Linked DNA regions of Mus musculus: all the other regions are reported to be linked to region 4. The links are microRNA targets in miRTarBase. Many come from high-throughput screens and were not tested one by one. Region 4 holds a microRNA gene; each other region holds the end of a gene's coding sequence. Distances are between the middles of the regions.

Region 1 (4,451 bases), not on the chromosome of region 4:
AGGCCCCGGGGACAGATGGATTCTAGGAGCTTGCTGGCCAGCCAGCCAGTCAGTCCAGCTAGAATAGCGAGGGAGCTTCAGGTTCAGGGAGTGACCCCGACGCAAGGAAACGAGGTTAAGTTGAGGAAGACACCCAACTCCCTTCTGGCTTCTGCATGCACCTGGAAACATACATATGTGCCACACATAAATAAAATTCTTGAAAAAGGACCAAACTCACTAGTTCATTTTTAGCAGTAAATGTCAACCATTTTAAAATTTATAAATATATACACAAGACTAATAATTATTCTAAAGAAATAGATTTTATTTTATACAACCTTCTAGTTTCCTAATTGTTTTTGTGTTCTTTCAAACAGGAGGCAGACAGTAACAAGTACTCCTTGCTGGATTGAACTTCATCTGAATGGCCCTCTGCAGTGGCTGGACAAAGTATTAACTCAGATGGGATCCCCTTCAGTGCGATGCTCAAGCATGTCGTAAACCCATCAAAGACTCGCTGTAACAGCTCCTCCGTCGTAGTATTCATGTATGATCCCGTGGACTGTTTGCTATCCAAAAATTCCAGAGCAAAAACAGCACTTGAGGTCTCATCAGTTAAAGCACCTTGTGGAATCTGTTTCCTATATTTGAATATTAGATGGGAAAATTAGTGTCTAGAAATGCCCTCCCCAGCGGGGAAAAAGAAGACTTAAAGACTTAATGATGTCTTGTTGGGCATAAGACAGTATCCCAAAGGTTATTAATAACAGTAGTAGTTGTGTACAGGTAATGTGTCCAGACCCAGTATTGCAGTACTATGCTGTTTGTATACATTCTTAGTTTGCATAAATGAGGTGTGTGTGCTGCTTCTTGGTCTAGGCAAGCCTTTATAAAATTACAGTATCTAATCTGTTATTCCCACTTCTCCGTTATTTTTGTGTCTTTTTTAATATATAATATATATATATCAAGATTTTCAAATTATCATTTAGAAGCAGATTTTCCTTGTAGAAACTAATTTTTCTGCCTTTTACCAAAAATAAACAAACTCTTGGGGGAAGACAAGTGGATTAACTTGGAAGTCCTTGACCTTCATGTGTCCAGTGGATCTTAGCAGTCGTTCTTTTGTGAGCCTTTTCTCCTGAGTTGCATTAGAAGGAAACCTTACTGGAACCGTCCAGGCTCCTCATCCCATTCCTGTTCTGGTTCAGAGCAGTACAGCAGAATGACGTCGTGCTAAACAGTTGCACTGCTGGCTTCTGGGTTAGTTGTTTCTGAGTCCAGGAAAGGTTTGTGTGGGCAGTAAGTCCTTTTGTCTAATAACCAGACTTCAGCAGATGATAACTGATGTGTATAACCAGTTGTTCTGTTGATTAACTTTTGTCTCAAACATGCACAGGTGGCAGTATAATTATTTTCAGGGCTATTCTAGAATCATCTCAGTCTGTTTCCTTCTTCCAAAGCCAGTCTAATAATAAAGTACCTTTCTGTAAAGGCAGCCGACCTTTTGCCTCATTTTACTTTTACTACCAGGTTGTATTACAGAACAGACCTTTTGTAAATGTGTTAGAGTGACGCTGAGGTCTTGTCAGCAGATAGGGCCATCTGTTTTTAAAGTGTATTGTATGTAATTTATAAGTAGAATGTTATTTTACCTAGCTTCAAAGGTTTAAATATTGTGAGCTAAGCCATTTAGCAAGATTTCTAGCCCGCAGTTAGCTGTGGACTTAGCTCTTCCTGACTTACCCTGGGTGTGTGGTTTGCTGACCTTTCAGCTCTGCAGGAAGGAGATCCCAGCTGTCCTTTGGTCCTCCCTTCTGCAGCACACGACAGTCATGTCCAGTGTTGACTCCTTTCTCGTTTGCAACTCCGTACAAATGCCTGGTCTCCTTTTTGTAAACTTTCATATTTTTGCAGACAAATACTTTTGGTACTTACTCTTTGAGACCATTCTCACATGTATGTACAGTAATCATTTTTGATGCTTTTCAACATTGGTTGTTTTCTATTTGATATTTCTCATTTTCCTATATTTGTGTTTGTATGTTATGTGTTCATGTAAATTTGGTATAGTAATTTTTATTCAAATATTTATTGTTCACCTGTTAATGTGCCATGAACTTCCTTAACTTTTGGGTGAAGGTGAACAAGATAGCTATAGTTCCTGCCTTTGCTAAGAGCAGTTGGTTTAACCCATACTCAAGTGTCTGCATAGGAGGTAAACAGGGTATACTTTGAGAATGGCAGAGACGATGCTTTTGGTAGGATATTAGGAAGGCATCTGGAGAGTGATGTGTAAGCTAACCCCTGACCTAGGAAGAGAAAGCCATGTGAAGAGCCAAGGGCAATTTAACACTGCTGGAACATTATCAGCATCCAAAGGCTCAGGCTCATAGAGACTCACTGTCAGGTATCATGATTGTGCACACACCTGCACACACCCACACGTGGTGATGAAAATGCTTGTTCAGTTTAGAATTTGTTGAAGGTGGGACTGCTTTGTGACAGGCTGCTTCTGTCATCTCACTGTAATCTATTCCTCAGACCTTGTACAGCTTTCTTACACCAGGTCAGTGCCACTTAATTTAACAACTCCCGTTACGTAAATGCTCACCAGTCTGGAGCCTCCCTGCTTGCTTCTGGACGTGTTGCTGCATATCGGCTATCACTGCTTCCCTTCCGCTGCCCATCTTGTGATAGAGCAATTGTCCTGTGCATTATTGCTGTTGAGCCTACTGGAGATCCTTGTACATAAACTGCCCCTTCTCTGGAAGTTTCCACAGACTAGAAAACTTGAGCTGTTGGGACAGTTCTGGGGCAGAGGACAGCTTTGAAAGTGGTAGGAGGTTATCAGACATGTTAAAGTGTTGCCAACAGTGAGACACAGCTCCATGGTTGGGGTTCAGGAATAGGTTTTCTATACCACCGAGCGTGAACAAGTCACCGTGTAAACTCATGTGAAAAGAATTCAGTGCTTATCTTTGCTTTTCACCGGAATGCTGTGGGCATGCGCTACTGTCACCTAGATTTTGTTGATTTCACCTCTTTTGCAAGACTGATTTTTGTTCCAGATGATTCCTACGGCCTCTCTTGGTTGATTTATATTGATTTAATTTCTCCACATTATTTAGCATCATGTCTCAGCAGTAATTTGAAAGCCTTTCTACCAGATTCAAACATTTGGTTGTATTAGGCCAGTCTTTTGGAATGCCACTAAACTGGGCTGTGACTTAAGGACCCTTTCCTGCTAGGGTCTGAGCCACACCAGTTAGACTTACTATCCATCGTTATATACATTTAGTCAGCATAGTTCCTGCCTATTGTTTACCCAGCCAATGTGATTCTGGGACCATGTCCTGGCTCTGGAGTTGGGCTTAGTCCTGTGAGAGTTCCTGTTGTTTTCAGGGCCTATGACTTTGCCAGAAGGAATTTGCATATGTTTTCTTGAGAGCTGAATCTTCTAATTGTGTACATATATGTATGTATATGTACAGAGTTCCTTCTTTGTTTCTTTAATTTCACCTTCATCACGCCTTGGTTGTCAGTTCATCCCGACTAAGAGTCCAAGTCAGTCAGGTTAGTAGGCTTTTGCTGGTTGAAGTCAAAGAAAGCAGATGCCCAGTTGCCTTCCCTACCTCTGCCAAGAGCTGCCCGTATGTGTTTTTAAGCCCTCCCCCTTTTTTTAAGATTAACTACTTGGAACAGTTGTTCTCTTAGGTGTCCTCTTTGCTGGAGAGTAGTTGATTTGGTGGTGAGGTATAAAGTAAGGAGACAATCTAAGTTGACCCTTCCAGCTTGCCTGTGTGTTGCACCTCTCTGTGCAACTATCTCAGGTATGTCTTCACAGGGCAGCCAAGGGCCTTTCCCCATACTGTGGCTTAAGGCTTTGGTGTCCTGATAGATCAGACTTATTACTTGTCATGCTTTTGCCTGAGCACTTTGCTAAACCCAGGCTTCCTTGCACCTTACCCTCCCCAGTCAATCAGCTCTATTTTTTTTTCTGAATGCATTCTGTATTCTTCCCTTAGTGCGATGCATTTCCCTGCAGGCAAGCTAGTATTGTTCATTCCTGGACCGTTGTTGGAGTCTTTCAAATGACTCTGGAATTTTTGCCCAGTTAAAATGTCCCTGTGACTGACAAGTAGCAAACTCAACATTATTTATCATAGTTTAGATGGTAACAGCATCTCCATCACAGTTTGGGGACAGTCTAGATCAGCGGTGTGACCCTTTAGTGCAGTTCCTCATGTTGTGGTGACCCCCAGCCATAAAATTATTTTATTGCTACTTCATTACTGTAATTTTGCTACTGTTATGAATCATAATGTAAATATCTTTGATTTTTGATGGTCTTAGGTGACCCCTGTGAAAAGGTTGTTTGACCACCCCTCCCCCAAGGGGTTGCAACCCACAGGTTGAGAAACCACTGTTGTAAAGTGTCCGATTTATTCCAGTGATGGTGGTCTGTG
Region 2 (4,451 bases), not on the chromosome of region 4:
AGGCCAAGGCTGTGCTCCCTCCCTGTCCTACTGTTCCTCACAACCTGGGGAGGAGAAAAGGATGTGGTTGTCATCCTTTTGACTCAGGACAGAATGTGTCCTGTTGTTGTACCAGAAGCTCAGAACTGGAATGAGAGATGGGAAGAAAGGTGTCCTCCTAATGGCTTTTCATGCAGCAGACTGTCATTGTCTTCTTGGCATCATTTCCTGTGGACTCCTCATGACCCATACAGCAAGGAAGAAATCCTTGCGTGGCTGAGCTGGGGGTCCCTGAGCAGGAAAATATCAGACCCCATGGTTTGGTGCCCTCTGCCACCCCCAAGAGAAAACAGAGAAAGTTAGAAGCAGAACCCTGGGAGAGATTCTGCTCTCTGCTGCCCCTGCATGACCCTGAGGGCTACAGGAAAGACTAATGGGCAGGTCCCAGGGAGCAGTGAATAAGAGGTCCTTTGTTAAAAAAATATATGAAGAATGTACTGATATTGACACAGCCTTAAAGCAAGAGCAAGGACCTCTTGTTTGCAAGACCCTGGGAGCTTGCAGATATGGCTAGTCTTTCTACCCAGCTTCTCTTGGCCATGCTGTATGCAAACATACCTGATATGCACAGCCACCCATGAAACCATGGTCCCAACACCTCCTAATGTTTTGTTTCCTGCCTTCATGCCATCATTTTCTTGTCATCTTTGCTTAGATTGTGGCTAAGAAGTACCGAAACTATGACATCCCAGCTGAGATGACAGGCTTGTGGCGATACCTCAAGAATGCCTATGCACGGGACGAGTTCACCAACACCTGTGCAGCTGACAGTGAGATCGAGTTGGCCTACGCAGATGTCGCCAGGCGCCTCAGCCGATCGTGAGCTTGGCTGTCTGGCCCAATTTCTGCTGCAGAAGAATTCTACTTCTCCCAATGGCTTTCAGCTCTACAGACTCTTCTTCCCCATTGCCTTGGGGAAACATAAAAAAAAATTAGGCCACATCTTACTGGCACCCCTGAACTCAACTCCAGCCTTCTACCTTCTAAGATCAGTGCCATCCTTCTGCCTTGCCCTGCAGGAGCCTGGCAAGCAGAGGACACGGTGGCAGATTTTTTTTCCACCTGCTGGTCTGATCTAGGGTCAGTGTATCTGGGGTCAGTGAATCTGGGGTCAGTTTGCAGAGCTCTCATGGGATTGTCACCGTTCCCTTCTGCCAATATCATAATGCTTTCTCAGATGCGCTAACAACTTGAAATGCCAGCTTCTCTCTCCCCTCGTTCCTCAGCAAATGCAAGGTGATGGACAGATACATCATCGTCAGGGAGAGATCTATGCCTTGATTGGGGAGACAGTGGTTGGGGGGACTCAGCTGGGTGTGGCTCTAGCAAAACAGTTCCAGATGCTCACTATTTCTGACAGTGGGCCAGATGGAGACACCCCCAACACACAATATACCCCAGTTTTCTGGTGCAATATGATTACATCCTGGCCAGCACTGACCCAAGTTTTCCTCCTGTCTCCATTTTGCCACAAAGGCAGTCGATTTATAACTCTAAACCAAGGTGACCCAGATAGGGAGAGACTTCTGGGAAGCAATATTGATGCCAAAAGGCCCAAACAGGGTCTACAGCCACAGGGGTCACTGGCTGAAGAGTAGTCGTCCACTGGAGATCACATGAGAGTGTGTGTGTGTGTGTGTGTGTGTGTGTGTGTGTGTGTGTGTGTGTGTGACTGTGTTCTTCAGTGGGTAGCTTTGGGTTTGAGCAAGCGAAGGAAGTGGAGGGATGGGAGGAAATAAAGTTCTATTTGAGTTTGACATAGCCTAGAAAACTTTTAGAGCAGTCTTCTCTCTCATTATCTAAATCTTGGATTGGTGTTACGGCACCCCTACCAACTGTAGAGCAGACTCCAACATCAGCCAAAAATGTCTTCCAGGCTCTTCATAGTCACTTGCAGATGTGGGTTGCCACCTGCCTGTGCCCTGGCTCCCAGTTTCTTCAGCCTCAGCCTCTGATGAAAGAGAAAGTCTATTAATGAATGGTGTGATCGTGGGCTACCTTAGGAAGAAAGCCCATGGGTCTTTCTGACTGGGAAGCCACAACTTGAATTTGGAAATTATGGACTGCCTTGGGCTTGGGTTCATTTTCCTGTCAGCAGGCTCATCTATCAGATTTTCAAGGAAGAGAAAACTTTTTAAAAATTTCTTTATAAACTAATATTTCTCTCTTTAGTAATTCTCCTTGAGTTTTACCTACAACTCTCACAGGGTGTGACCATGAGAACCTAGGCTGATTAGGAACTATGACAAATCAATCACTCATTAGCTCTTCCTCTACCAGTGAGCTAGTGAGTGCCTAGAAGAAATCCATCACCAGGACCTCAACTCCAACAATCCCGCTTCTGTGTCACTGACAGTGGAGGCGAGGCTCCTGAGGGCCGGTAAGGCCCTGGTCTTGGCTCATTGCTCGGGAGGGTGGAGCAGCACAGATCCTTTCCATAGAAATACAACATGGTTTAACCCAAGCAGTCACTGAGCCCTCCTGCCTCTAGGGATCTCCAAAGCAAAGAGTGACCATTGATCCAAGGAGGGAGGAAGCAGGAGGTCTCCCTAGCCCACTGGGGAAGAGGACTCTGCCTGCTAGAAGTTTATAAACCTGAAGGGGCTTTGAAGAGGCAAAATGAGCCGATTCATTTCCATCGCTACAGGAACCTTTCCACGGGCTCTCCATAAGCTACCCCTGGGGATGTTTAAAAGTGTAGCACTGCTGAGGGAACAGCACTTTTTTCTTCAGGGAAGAGCCCTCAATGGGCCTCTCGGGGAAGCAGAACTTCCGGAACCATCCGGAAGGCCGTTTAATTAAAAGAAAACCATGCTGTTCTCCGGGATCCTTCCTAGAATTTACAAGCAGGCAGGGTGAACTCACGCAGCTCACACCCCTATTTTCCAAAGGTGGGCTGGTGTTAAAGATATGAAGACTAGCGTGCATGCTGAGGGGCCTCAGAGGAAGGGGAAGAATTTTCCTCATGTGATGCTCTGAGCCCAGCAATCGGCATGTCTTTTAAAAACAAACTTCCCAAGCCGAGTCGATGTTGTTTCTAGACGGTTCTCCTATGGTTGAGTTAGTTTCACATACATCACAATATTTAGGCAATGTTGGATGCTATAGGATCAATCAGAACCCCTTTAAAGAGAGGCACGATTGTAAATGGGAGGCTTTCCTCAGTACTTTAATGCAGATGTAACTTTAATGTTATCAAATAACTATAATGAGACTAACCAATGTCTTAGGACACAATTATCATAGTATGTAAAAAAAATAGCAATAAAGTCAATGATGATTACCTACCCCACCCCCTCCAAGGAGAGTTTTCTCTGGAGGCTCTAGTTTCTTTGGACCTTGGTCTTAACCTTGATATGTATATGGTTTACCATCTGCAGTCACCCTGTGTTGAGGTTCCAAGTCCCAGCTCAGACCATGTGGAAGGGTTTGTAGTGTGGACTCTACCTGCAGAAATTCTGGATAAGAGCTATTCCGGTAAATGCCAGTCCCCCAGGAAGCATTTGGATGTCAGAGAAAAGGAAGCTATGTTGACAGAGCTATTGTGTATTCTTTTCTCACCTTGGATTGTCACATGACAATCTTGTATGTATGAAACGTTAAGTGCAAAGCAAGACAGACAGACGGGGTCTGACTCAAAATTACTGAGCTGAGTGTACCTACCTATTTAAAACTGCCCACTTCTTAGGTTGATCCAGACAGAAGACATTCTTAGGTTGATCCAGAGAGAAGATGTTATTAACTATCCACAATAAGATAGAAAGTGAATTGTTTGCTTGTTTAGAAATATAATTTCATATTCTCCTGAAAAAAAAGAAAATGTCCTGGTAAGTTCAGGATCACAGTCATGTGTCTATCTCACAGTTTAAATGAGGGGTCTAGGTAGCCTACTGGAACCAAACAAATCAGTTGCAAAGTAGGAAATGGTCACTCAGTTTATTTAGGCAGTCGATCCCAAACTAGTTCTAGCTTCCTGGTAGGTGGCAATGTCCCCACTGGTCCCCTCTAGTGTTGGTGGGAACAAATAGGCTCTCTTTTTTTTTCTTCAAAACCAAACTGTTCCAAAAGTGAAGTTTGGGGCAGAACCTGCTGGTACCTTCTTGTGAGGTTCTTATGAGGTGAAACAAGAACAGTGACTAGAGGGGTGGACATTCTGCAGACAGGTAGTCCTAAGCAGGTTAGAACCATCATGGAATGAAACATGCCTGGCACAGAGAGACGTTGCTGTTGACAAGTTCTGGGGACCTTCCAGGCCCAGGTAAATTGTATTATGAGGGAAGTCAAGGCAGAAGCCGTGTGTCCATCTAATAAAAGTTCACCATCGCTAAAAGAGTTTGCATCTACAATCAAATCCTTCTAGAAGCAGTAGGTGTCTGGTCGGTAGGTACTTCTGGGGTTTCTGTCCATTCTTC
Region 3 (4,399 bases), 150 Mb from region 4:
TTTCCCTGGACAATGCCCAGTGCAGCAGGTACATTAATTACCAATCTTGTGACCACGACAAAAAAACAAAAACAAACAAAAAAAAACACAAACAAACAAAAAAACAGACAAAAGCCAGCTAGGGAAGAAAGGCTTCATTTTGGGCTCCTGGTTTAAGCAGAGACCATGATGGGGAGGGTGTGGCAGAGCCTGGGTGCCAACCTCATCACATCAGGATGCAGAGAACAGGAAAGAGGAGGAGGCTGGTAAAGCCTCCAGGTGGTCCCCCTCTCTCCACTCCCTCTAGAGGCTCTGATTCCTGCAGTTTCTACAGACTTCCACTAGCTGTGGAGCAAGAGTTCCCATGATCCTGTGCAGGGCATTTCCCATTCACACTGCGACAGTGGGACATCTGCACACCTCCTGAGTCCTTCTGTTTTTAGTACGTGGATATGGTCACTGTCTCCGAGAGAATCTTATTTCTAGGTCCCTCCTTGTTCTCCATCCAAGACCATAAAGTCTCAGAGCTAACCTCCTGCCCCAGCTTCAGGTCTCATACAGGGCCACATGGACCCCAGGCTTGGCACATGTCTCCTCTGGAGCTGCAGAGCACTACAGGCTGTTCCCACCCCAGAAGCTCTGTCTCTGGTCTCCACAGAGTCAAAGGAAGATGATTCAGATTTGTGCTTCAACTGGGAGCCCTGGAGCAAAAGACCATCTGAGTGTGGCTGTGAGGAGACATTTCCTGGTGAGGAGGACGGACTCCACTGGTGATCCTGCTCTACCAGGTAAGGCCTTCCATAGGAATGGGCAGCTGTAAGACCCCGGGCCTGCACAGAGCCTCAGCAGCTGACCCTTGGAGCAGGCTGTCTTGCTGTGTGGACACCCTGGGCCTTGGCTTTACTGAAGAACTGACTGTCCTGCTATGATCTCCATGACTTCAGGGACTTGACCTGACTGGGGTGGCAAAGGTGTGAAGAAAGGACAGACACATGGACATAGACAAGCTTGGATGGGATGATCTGGGTTTTTGGAACATGTTTATTGTGTACAGTTGAATAAGGAGGCAGGAGCCATGGTCTACGGCTGGACCGGGGGGGTGAGGGGTGTTGCAGGGGGAGTGGCCATGGTCTACAGCTGGACAAGGAGGCAGGGGCCATGGTGTACAGCTGTAGGAGGAGGCAGAGGCCATGGTGTACAGCTGGATGAGGAGACAGGGGCCATGGTGTACAGCTGGATGGGGAAGCAGGAACTATGATATTCAGTTGGACAAAGAGGAAGGTTTAGCTAAACTCATAAGTGTGGTCTCTGTGAGGGAGTAATCTTCAGGCCATAGCAATCTGGAGGACGAAAGCTATAGTGGACATTTTCTGCACACTAAAGGAAGACTTTGCCTGCCATCCCTTTGAGCCCTACACCCGGTGGGTGCACTCCTGTGGCTCTGTGGCATTGGGGTCCTTTATATGGTTGTGCTCCTGACAATACACACTCACAATTTCCTTGCTCCTACGTTGGCCCCTGGTGGGCAGCTGCCTGCCTGGTGTGTGGAGAACTGTCACCTCAGCCAGGAGGAGTTTCCTTACAAAGCCCCAGCCCTTCCTCACCTCGTGTCACCTCAGGGCCTTTGCATTGCTTCTTCCCTCTGCTAGAAGCTTCCTCCCTCACACAGCTGTTGGATTCCCCTTCTTCCCTCCCATGACTCGCACAAGTGTCACTTTGTCAGGGGTTCCCCCAATATTGGATATCACAGTGCCCCCTTGACTCTGCACTACTTTCCTTTGCTGTGGCTAATTACCACCTTCCAGAAACCTAGATAATGGGGGGATCCAAACACCCAAATCCCTTCCCACCACACAGTGGGGGAGTTGCACACACATTGGCCAAAGCCTACGATGCCAGTCATCACCCGTGTGGTTGGTGGTCCTGGAATATGCATCTCCTTCTCACACACTCACCGTGAAAGCTGGGATGAGGTGTTCTCACCTCCATGGATATGTGAAAACTTGGGGTCTCATCCAGAGGGATCCAGGGCCTTGGCAGCCATGCCACTGGGCTCATGTCGCCTCCAGCCAGCGGCCCCCAAATGCATGTTGTCACTCTCATCTTCCTCTGAGCTCTGTCATCTCCCCGTTTAAGCTCTCCATGTCCCACAGTCGCCCCACAAAGCAAAGCCCGATGGCCCCATCCCCACTTCTTTCGTCCCTGCTCCAGCCACCACCTTAGGGCTCAGCCTCCAGGGCTCCTTCACATCCAGCCATGGCAACAGGTCCTGGCGACCCATCGCCACCTCCGCTGGGCCCACATCTTCCCTCTGTTCTCCTTGTTGTGTAGCATGGTCAAGCACTATGCTTTCACTTGGAGGGAGGAGGTGGGACTGAGAAGGGGTGGGGGGCTCCCTGAACCCTCCCTGAGCTTAAGAGTCCTTGCTTAACCTTTCTGGGTCATAGCCTTGCCAAGTGAGACATTTCCCTGGAAAAACTCCTGTGTGCTCATGTGCTCAAGTTCGTGGACAAGGAAGGGGAGGCTTCTTGACCGTTGAAATCACACAAGGCCCCAGAGAAACCTCTCTGTCTGATATGACTCTGCTATGGTTGTGTGTACTTATTTATTTATTTTGTTGTCTTGGTAGTGCTAGGGTTTGAACCCAGAGTCTCAAGCGTACTAGGCGAGTTCTGTACCACCAAGTCACATCCCGAACCAAAGGACCCTGCCCATCTTCAGAGAGAGCTCTTCTCGACCCCACCATTGCTCCTCATCTCTTATCCTCCATTCTGACTTCATCTCCAACCCAAGTCCCATGTGTTTATGGCTTGTTTACTAGGTACCATCTGGGCCTAAGTGGATGGAGGGAGAACACTGGTGACCGATGGCCTTCCCTGGGATCTCCCGTTGTCAGACCTGCCAAGCCTCTTGCCAAACCATCCCTTCTCCATCACCACAGATGACCCGGAACCTGGAAGAGCCAGGCCCAAGCGGCTTATGGGGGCCAGTTGGCCAGTCAACTCACAGGGTGTGTTGGATACCTATTAAAGAAATGGGGGTGCTCTTGTGCCCCTACAGAGCTTCCGATGTCCATTCATTCGGCATGGCACTCTCTGGACTGTCCCAGCCTCGTGTCTGCTGGCAGAGGCAAGCACTCTGAGTTTTCAACGTCACACCACAGGCTTGATCCTTGATTAGACTATAGTGTGAATGTCTGCACCCCCACACACACACTAAGACAGGTGTCTCGAAGTAGCTCTGGCCTGGAACTTGCCACGTAGACCAGATTGGCCTCAAACTCACAGAGATCTGTCTGCCTCTGCCTCCAGGGTGCTGGGATTAAAGGTGTGTCACTGTGCCTGGCTGCATTTTAAGGTCCTGGGCCTTGGAGAATTACCAAAGTCTCCTGCAGCCCTTCTGGTTACCCCAAGGCAACTGGAAGATGGTCCATGAGAGGGGACAGGCCTCCTAGGTACCATCTGATATCACTTTGTCCCTCCCCCTGCTGGACACCACAAAGACTGAAGTTCTCCCAGGGAGAAGACAGAGCCTGACTTGATAACCTGTGACCATTATACTGTTCCTTCTGTCTTGTCAGAGTGACTCACCCACTGCACCCATCAGAACACCCCTCCCCCATTTCCCTAAAAAAAAAAAAAAAAAAAACCCAATCTGTGGCTCCCTGTGCTCCTGGCTGGAGTCTCAGCTCTTCATCCATTGTAACACGGCCCTTTGGGATCTGAAGCCAGCTGATGTTGCTGAACGCCCTGGGCTTCTTCTCTCCTCCATCATAGGATGCAATGACTATACCTGTACTTCACCCATAAGCCTGCCCCTATGTGAAAATATTGTAGAAGATTCCGAGCATGCTGGTGTGTATGATACAATCCCACAGTCCAGCTTACAGAAGTCCCCAAGTCTTTGCACGGACGGTGGCACCAAGGGTGCATGAGAATGCCATGTTTCTCTAGCCTCTACACATTCCCCAACACACAGGCACACACATCAACTCAACACCCCCCCCATGTTCTCACACACATGCACACTCACATGCACACACACAAAGCTCTACGTGGGCTTTTATCTGCGTGATGAGGCTAAGCTTCCTTTGGTAATGGTTCCCATTCAGCACGGCCAGGGCTGGCCCCTGGCTTTGCCTGGAGGCTTCTCCATAAACCCCATTACAAGCAACCCCAGCAGCAGCTCAGAGGTCAAAGGCCAGCTTCCCCACAATCCTGGGCATGCTGTCCAGTCCCCAGATCATTGTCCCAACCTGTCTGGAAGTATGTGGGATGGACCCTGAGGGGAAGCAGGAGCAGGCAGGCCCTTCTGTACCTCCTTGGACTGGTGGGAGAAGACATGACTGGACCTCTGATGCAGCCTATGTCCCTGGGTCACACCCAGTCAGATGTTGAAGATAGCCACCATCATAATGTGG
Region 4 (4,451 bases):
GTAATACATACTCTTAAAGCTCTAAGTCATATATCATTCAAACGTAACGACGAATGCAATTTCTTCTGTGTGTGTGTGCCTGCATATACACGTGTGTTTATGTTATGTATATTCATATCAACACATGCACATGCACATACAAGTAAGCACACATGCACATACATGGGTAGCATCACAGAAATACCAGGATGATCTCCAACTGAAATTAAGCATGGATTTGAACTCCTGATCCTCCTGACTCTGTGGTTTACACCTGGTGATTGAGACCATTCACTGTCCCACTACTGCATAATCTCTAAAACTCTAAGTCACCTATCATTCAGATGGATCGATGAGTGTCATTCCTGTGTCTCTGTGTGTGTGTGTGCTTGTGTTTATATGTATGTGCATGTTATGTCTATTCATATACACACATGCACATGTACACAAAACTATACACCCATGCACATACATGGGTGGCAATCACATGAATCACAGGCAGATATCTATATCCTCCTGAAGATAAGCATGAATTTGAACTCCTGATACTCCTGATTCTAGCAAGCATTTTTACCTAGAAAATGACAGCACTCACTGGCCCAGTACTGAATAATTTCTAATATTCTAGGTGGCATATCATATAAATGGATCTATGAATGTTATTCGTGTGTGTGTGTGTGTGTGTGTGTGTGTGTGTGTGTGTGTGTGTGTGCACGCTAGGGTTTATATGTCTATGTATATGTTATGTATATCCATATAGACACATGAACATACACACACAACTATACAAACCTGCATGTACACTTAAGGCATCACATGAATCACAGGCTTATCTCTAAATCATGCTGAAGATAAGCATAAATTTGAACTTCTGATACTCCTAACTATAGTAAGCATTTTCACCTAGAGAATGAGAGCACTCACTTGCCCCATACTGAATAATCTCTACTACTCTGAGTGGCATATCATTTAAATGGGTCAATGAATGCCATTCCTGTGTCTGTGTGTGTGCTTGCGTTTATACGTGTGTGTGTATGTTATGTATATTCAAATATAGACATGAACATGCACACACAACTATACACACATGCACATACATGGAGGAATCTCAGGCTGATCTCTCATGAGGATAAGCATGAATTTAAACTCCTGATACTCTTAACTCTAGCAAGCATTTTCACCTAGAGAATAAGAGCACTCACTGGCCAAGTACTGCATAATCTCTAATATGCTAAGTGACATATCATTCAAAGGGATCGATGAAAGCCATTCTTGTGTCTCTATGTGTGTGTGCTTGCGTTTATACGTGTATGTTATGTATATGCAAATACATGCATGAACATGCACACACAACTATATACACATGCACAATCATGGGGCCATCACATGAATCACAGGCTGATCTCTAAATCCTCATGAAGGTCAGTATGTGTTTTAACTCCTGAATACTCTTAACTCTAGCAAGCATTTTCACCTAGAGACTGAGAGCACTCACTGGCCAAGTACTGCATAATCTCTAATACTCTAAGTGACACATCATTCCAATGGATTGATGAGTGGCATTGGTGTGAGTGTGTGTGTGTGTGTGTGTGTGTGTGTGTACTTGCATTAGTGTGTGTATGTTATGTATATTCAAATACAGACATGCACACACAACTATACTCACATGCACACACATGGGCGATATCACATGAATACCAGGATGCTATCTAGCTGAACATAGGAGTGAATTGGAACTCCAGATCCTCTTGACTCTTTCAATCGTTTACAACTGGTGAGTGAGACAATTCACCGTCTCTACTTCAAAATCTCTAAAACTCTAAATCACTTATCATTCCAATGGATCGATGAATGGCATTCCTGTGTCTGTTTGTGCACTTGTGTTTACTTGTGTGTGTGTGTGTATGTTATTTATATGCAAATACACACATCCACACACAACTATACACACATGCACATACATGGAGGCATCACATGAATGCCAGGCTGATCTCTAACTCATCATGCCGTTAACATGAATGTGCACTCCTGATCACCCTGAATCTAGCAAGTCTTCTCCTGGTGACTGAGACCTCTCTCTGTCAGCCCCAGTCATACAGAATCTCTAAGACTCTAAGTCACTAATTATTCAAATAGATGGATGAGTGCCAATTTTTGTGTGTTTGTATGCATGTTTGTATGGGTATGTGTGTATGTATATGTATATTCATATACACACATGTACATGCACACATACATATACACACAGGCATATATACTAGGGTCATCACAAGACTCCGAAGCTGATCACGAACTCATCATGAAGTTCAGCATGAATTTTGATTCCTGGTCATCCAAAGTCTGGCAAGCAAGCATTTTCACCTTGTGAGTGAGAGCACTCACTGGCCCAGCCCTGCATAATCTCTAAAGCTCTGAGTCACCTGTCATTCAAAAGGATCAATGAGTGACATTCCTCTGTGTGTGTGCGCGTGTGTGTGTGTGTGTGTGTGCGTGCCTGTGTGTTTATGTTTGTCTGTATGTAGATGTATATTTGTATACACACATGTACATATACACAAAACTATACACACATGCACATATATGGGGGGAGGATGCCATGAGGCCAGGCTGATCCCTAGGTCATTTTGAAGTTATTCAGGAATTTGAACTGCTGATCCAAAAGGCAAGCGTTTTACCTGGTAAGTTAACTGAGACATAGCTCTGGCCATTCCTGTGAGTGAGTGTGTGTGCATGCGTGTATATGCATATTCATATAGAGAAGTGTATGTGCACAAAGCTATACACACATGCACATTCTTTATGGTCATCACATGAATAGCATGCTGATCTCTAACTCATCATGAAGTTAAACATGAATTTGAACTCTTGATCCACCTGACTCTGTGGTGTGAGACCTCTCCCTATTGAGTACTGCAGAATCTCTAAAACTCTAAGTCACATATCATTCAAATGGACTGAGGAGTGGCATGCGTGTGTGTGTCTGTGTCTGTGGATGGGTCTATGTGTGTGTAGGTATGTATATTCATATACACAATCCACACACAGTTACACACATATACACATACATGGGGACATCACATGATTCCCAGGCAGATCTCTAAGTCATCATGAAATAAAGCATGAATTTGAACTCCTGACCTCCTGATTCTAACAAGCATTTTTAACATGATGGGTGATAACTCTCCCTGACCTAGTCACACATAATCTCCAAAGCTCACAGTCACATAGATCAATGAGTGAGTGCCATTCCTGTGTGCCTGTGTGCTCATATGTGTCTTATGTGTGCGTGTATGTATATGGATATCATATTCACATATGTACATGTACACACACATAAACACATATACACATACATAGGGGCAATCACATGAATGCCAGGATGACCTCTAACTCATCATGCCTTTACCATGAACTTGCACTCCTGATCTTCCCGACTCTACCAAGGGTTTTCCCGTGGTTTGTGAGACCTCACCCTGGCCCAGTCATACATAACCTCCAAAGCAGTAGGTCACATATCATTCAAATGGATCCGTGAGGGCCATTCCCGCATGTCTGTGTGCATGTGTGTGTAGGTGTGTGTATGTATATGCATAAAATATACACGCATATACATGCGCGCACTTATGCACACAGGCACATACATAGGGGCCATCACATTATTCCAGGATGATCTCTAACTGCTCATGAAGTTAAGCATGAAATTGAACTCCTGATCCTCCTGACAATGCCAATTGTTTACACCTTGTGAGTGAGACCATTCACTGTCCTTCTACTGCATAATCAGTAACATTCTAAGACATATATCATTCAAATGGATCGATGAATGCCATACCTTGGTGTGTGTGTGCTTGCTTTTATACGTGTGTGTGTGTGTGTGTGTGTTATGTATAATCATATACACACATGTACATGCACACAAAATTATGTGTGCATGTACATACCTAGGGTCCATCACACGAATCCAGGATGATCACTAACTGATCATTAAGTTAAGCATGATTCTGAACTCCAAGACTTCTGATTCTGGCAAGCGGTTTTCATCTAGTTGGCGAGATATTTCACTGTACCATAAATATACACTCTATGAAATTCTAAGCACATATAAAACTTATGGATGACTGCCATGTGTTTCTGTATGCATGCATGTGTGAATATGTGTCAATATATGTCTTTTCATATATCCGCATGTACAGACAAACTTATCTATACACATACACAGAAACAATCACATGAATAACAGGCTGATCTGTAACTCATCAGGAAGTTAAACATGAATTTGAACTCTGGGACCTCCTGACGCTGGCAAGAGCATCCACCTCCTAACTGAGACATAGCTCTGGCCCAGCACTGCATAAGCTCTAAAGCTCTGAGTCACATACCATTCCAAAGGATATATGAGTGCCATTCCTGTGTCTGCATGTGTGTATATGCATATTCACATAGAGAAGTGAATATGCACACAACTACACACA

The links. The annotated mature microRNA mmu-miR-669c-3p reads UACACACACACACACAAGUAAA and lies in region 4 at 1,863-1,884, opposite strand. An mRNA with a match to its seed (bases 2 to 7 or 8) in the 3' UTR can be bound and repressed. Matches are read on the target gene's strand: a 7mer-m8 pairs with bases 2 to 8, a 7mer-A1 pairs with bases 2 to 7 and ends in A, and an 8mer does both.
Region 1: the mRNA of Smad2 is a reported target of mmu-miR-669c-3p. Seed matches in the 3' UTR shown: 7mer-m8 at 838-844 and 7mer-m8 at 3,783-3,789.
Region 2: the mRNA of Clic5 is a reported target of mmu-miR-669c-3p. Seed matches in the 3' UTR shown: 7mer-m8 at 1,663-1,669, 7mer-m8 at 1,665-1,671, 7mer-m8 at 1,667-1,673, 7mer-m8 at 1,669-1,675, 7mer-m8 at 1,671-1,677, 7mer-m8 at 1,673-1,679 and 15 more.
Region 3: miRTarBase lists Adig as a target of mmu-miR-669c-3p. The part of its 3' UTR that is shown has no 7-base or 8-base seed match.

Annotation. Positions count from the first base shown.
Region 1 is chr18:76,304,248-76,308,698 of GRCm38, forward strand. Smad2 (SMAD family member 2) reads left to right here. Exons shown (of 11, transcript NM_010754.5): 11 at 360-4,451. The coding sequence ends at 483. Among named protein-coding and RNA genes, the nearest start is that of Smad2, 65 kb to the left of the region's middle.
Region 2 is chr17:44,274,520-44,278,970 of GRCm38, forward strand. It overlaps Clic5 (chloride intracellular channel 5), which reads left to right. Exons shown (of 6, transcript NM_172621.2): 6 at 695-4,451. The coding sequence ends at 862. Among named protein-coding and RNA genes, the nearest start is that of Clic5, 88 kb to the left of the region's middle.
Region 3 is chr2:158,505,155-158,509,553 of GRCm38, forward strand. Adig (adipogenin) reads left to right here. Exons shown (of 3, transcript NM_145635.2): 2 at 638-767; 3 at 2,801-3,044. The coding sequence ends at 753. Among named protein-coding and RNA genes, the nearest start is that of Adig, 4.7 kb to the left of the region's middle.
Region 4 is chr2:10,506,792-10,511,242 of GRCm38, reverse strand. It overlaps Mir669c (microRNA 669c), which reads right to left and starts at 1,947; the gene lies at 1,839-1,947. All of the region lies in intron 10 of Sfmbt2 (Scm-like with four mbt domains 2), which reads right to left. Mir467d (microRNA 467d) reads right to left here and starts at 3,613; the gene lies at 3,529-3,613. It overlaps Mir466 (microRNA 466), which reads right to left and starts at 3,325; the gene lies at 3,253-3,325. It also overlaps Mir297c and Mir669a-2.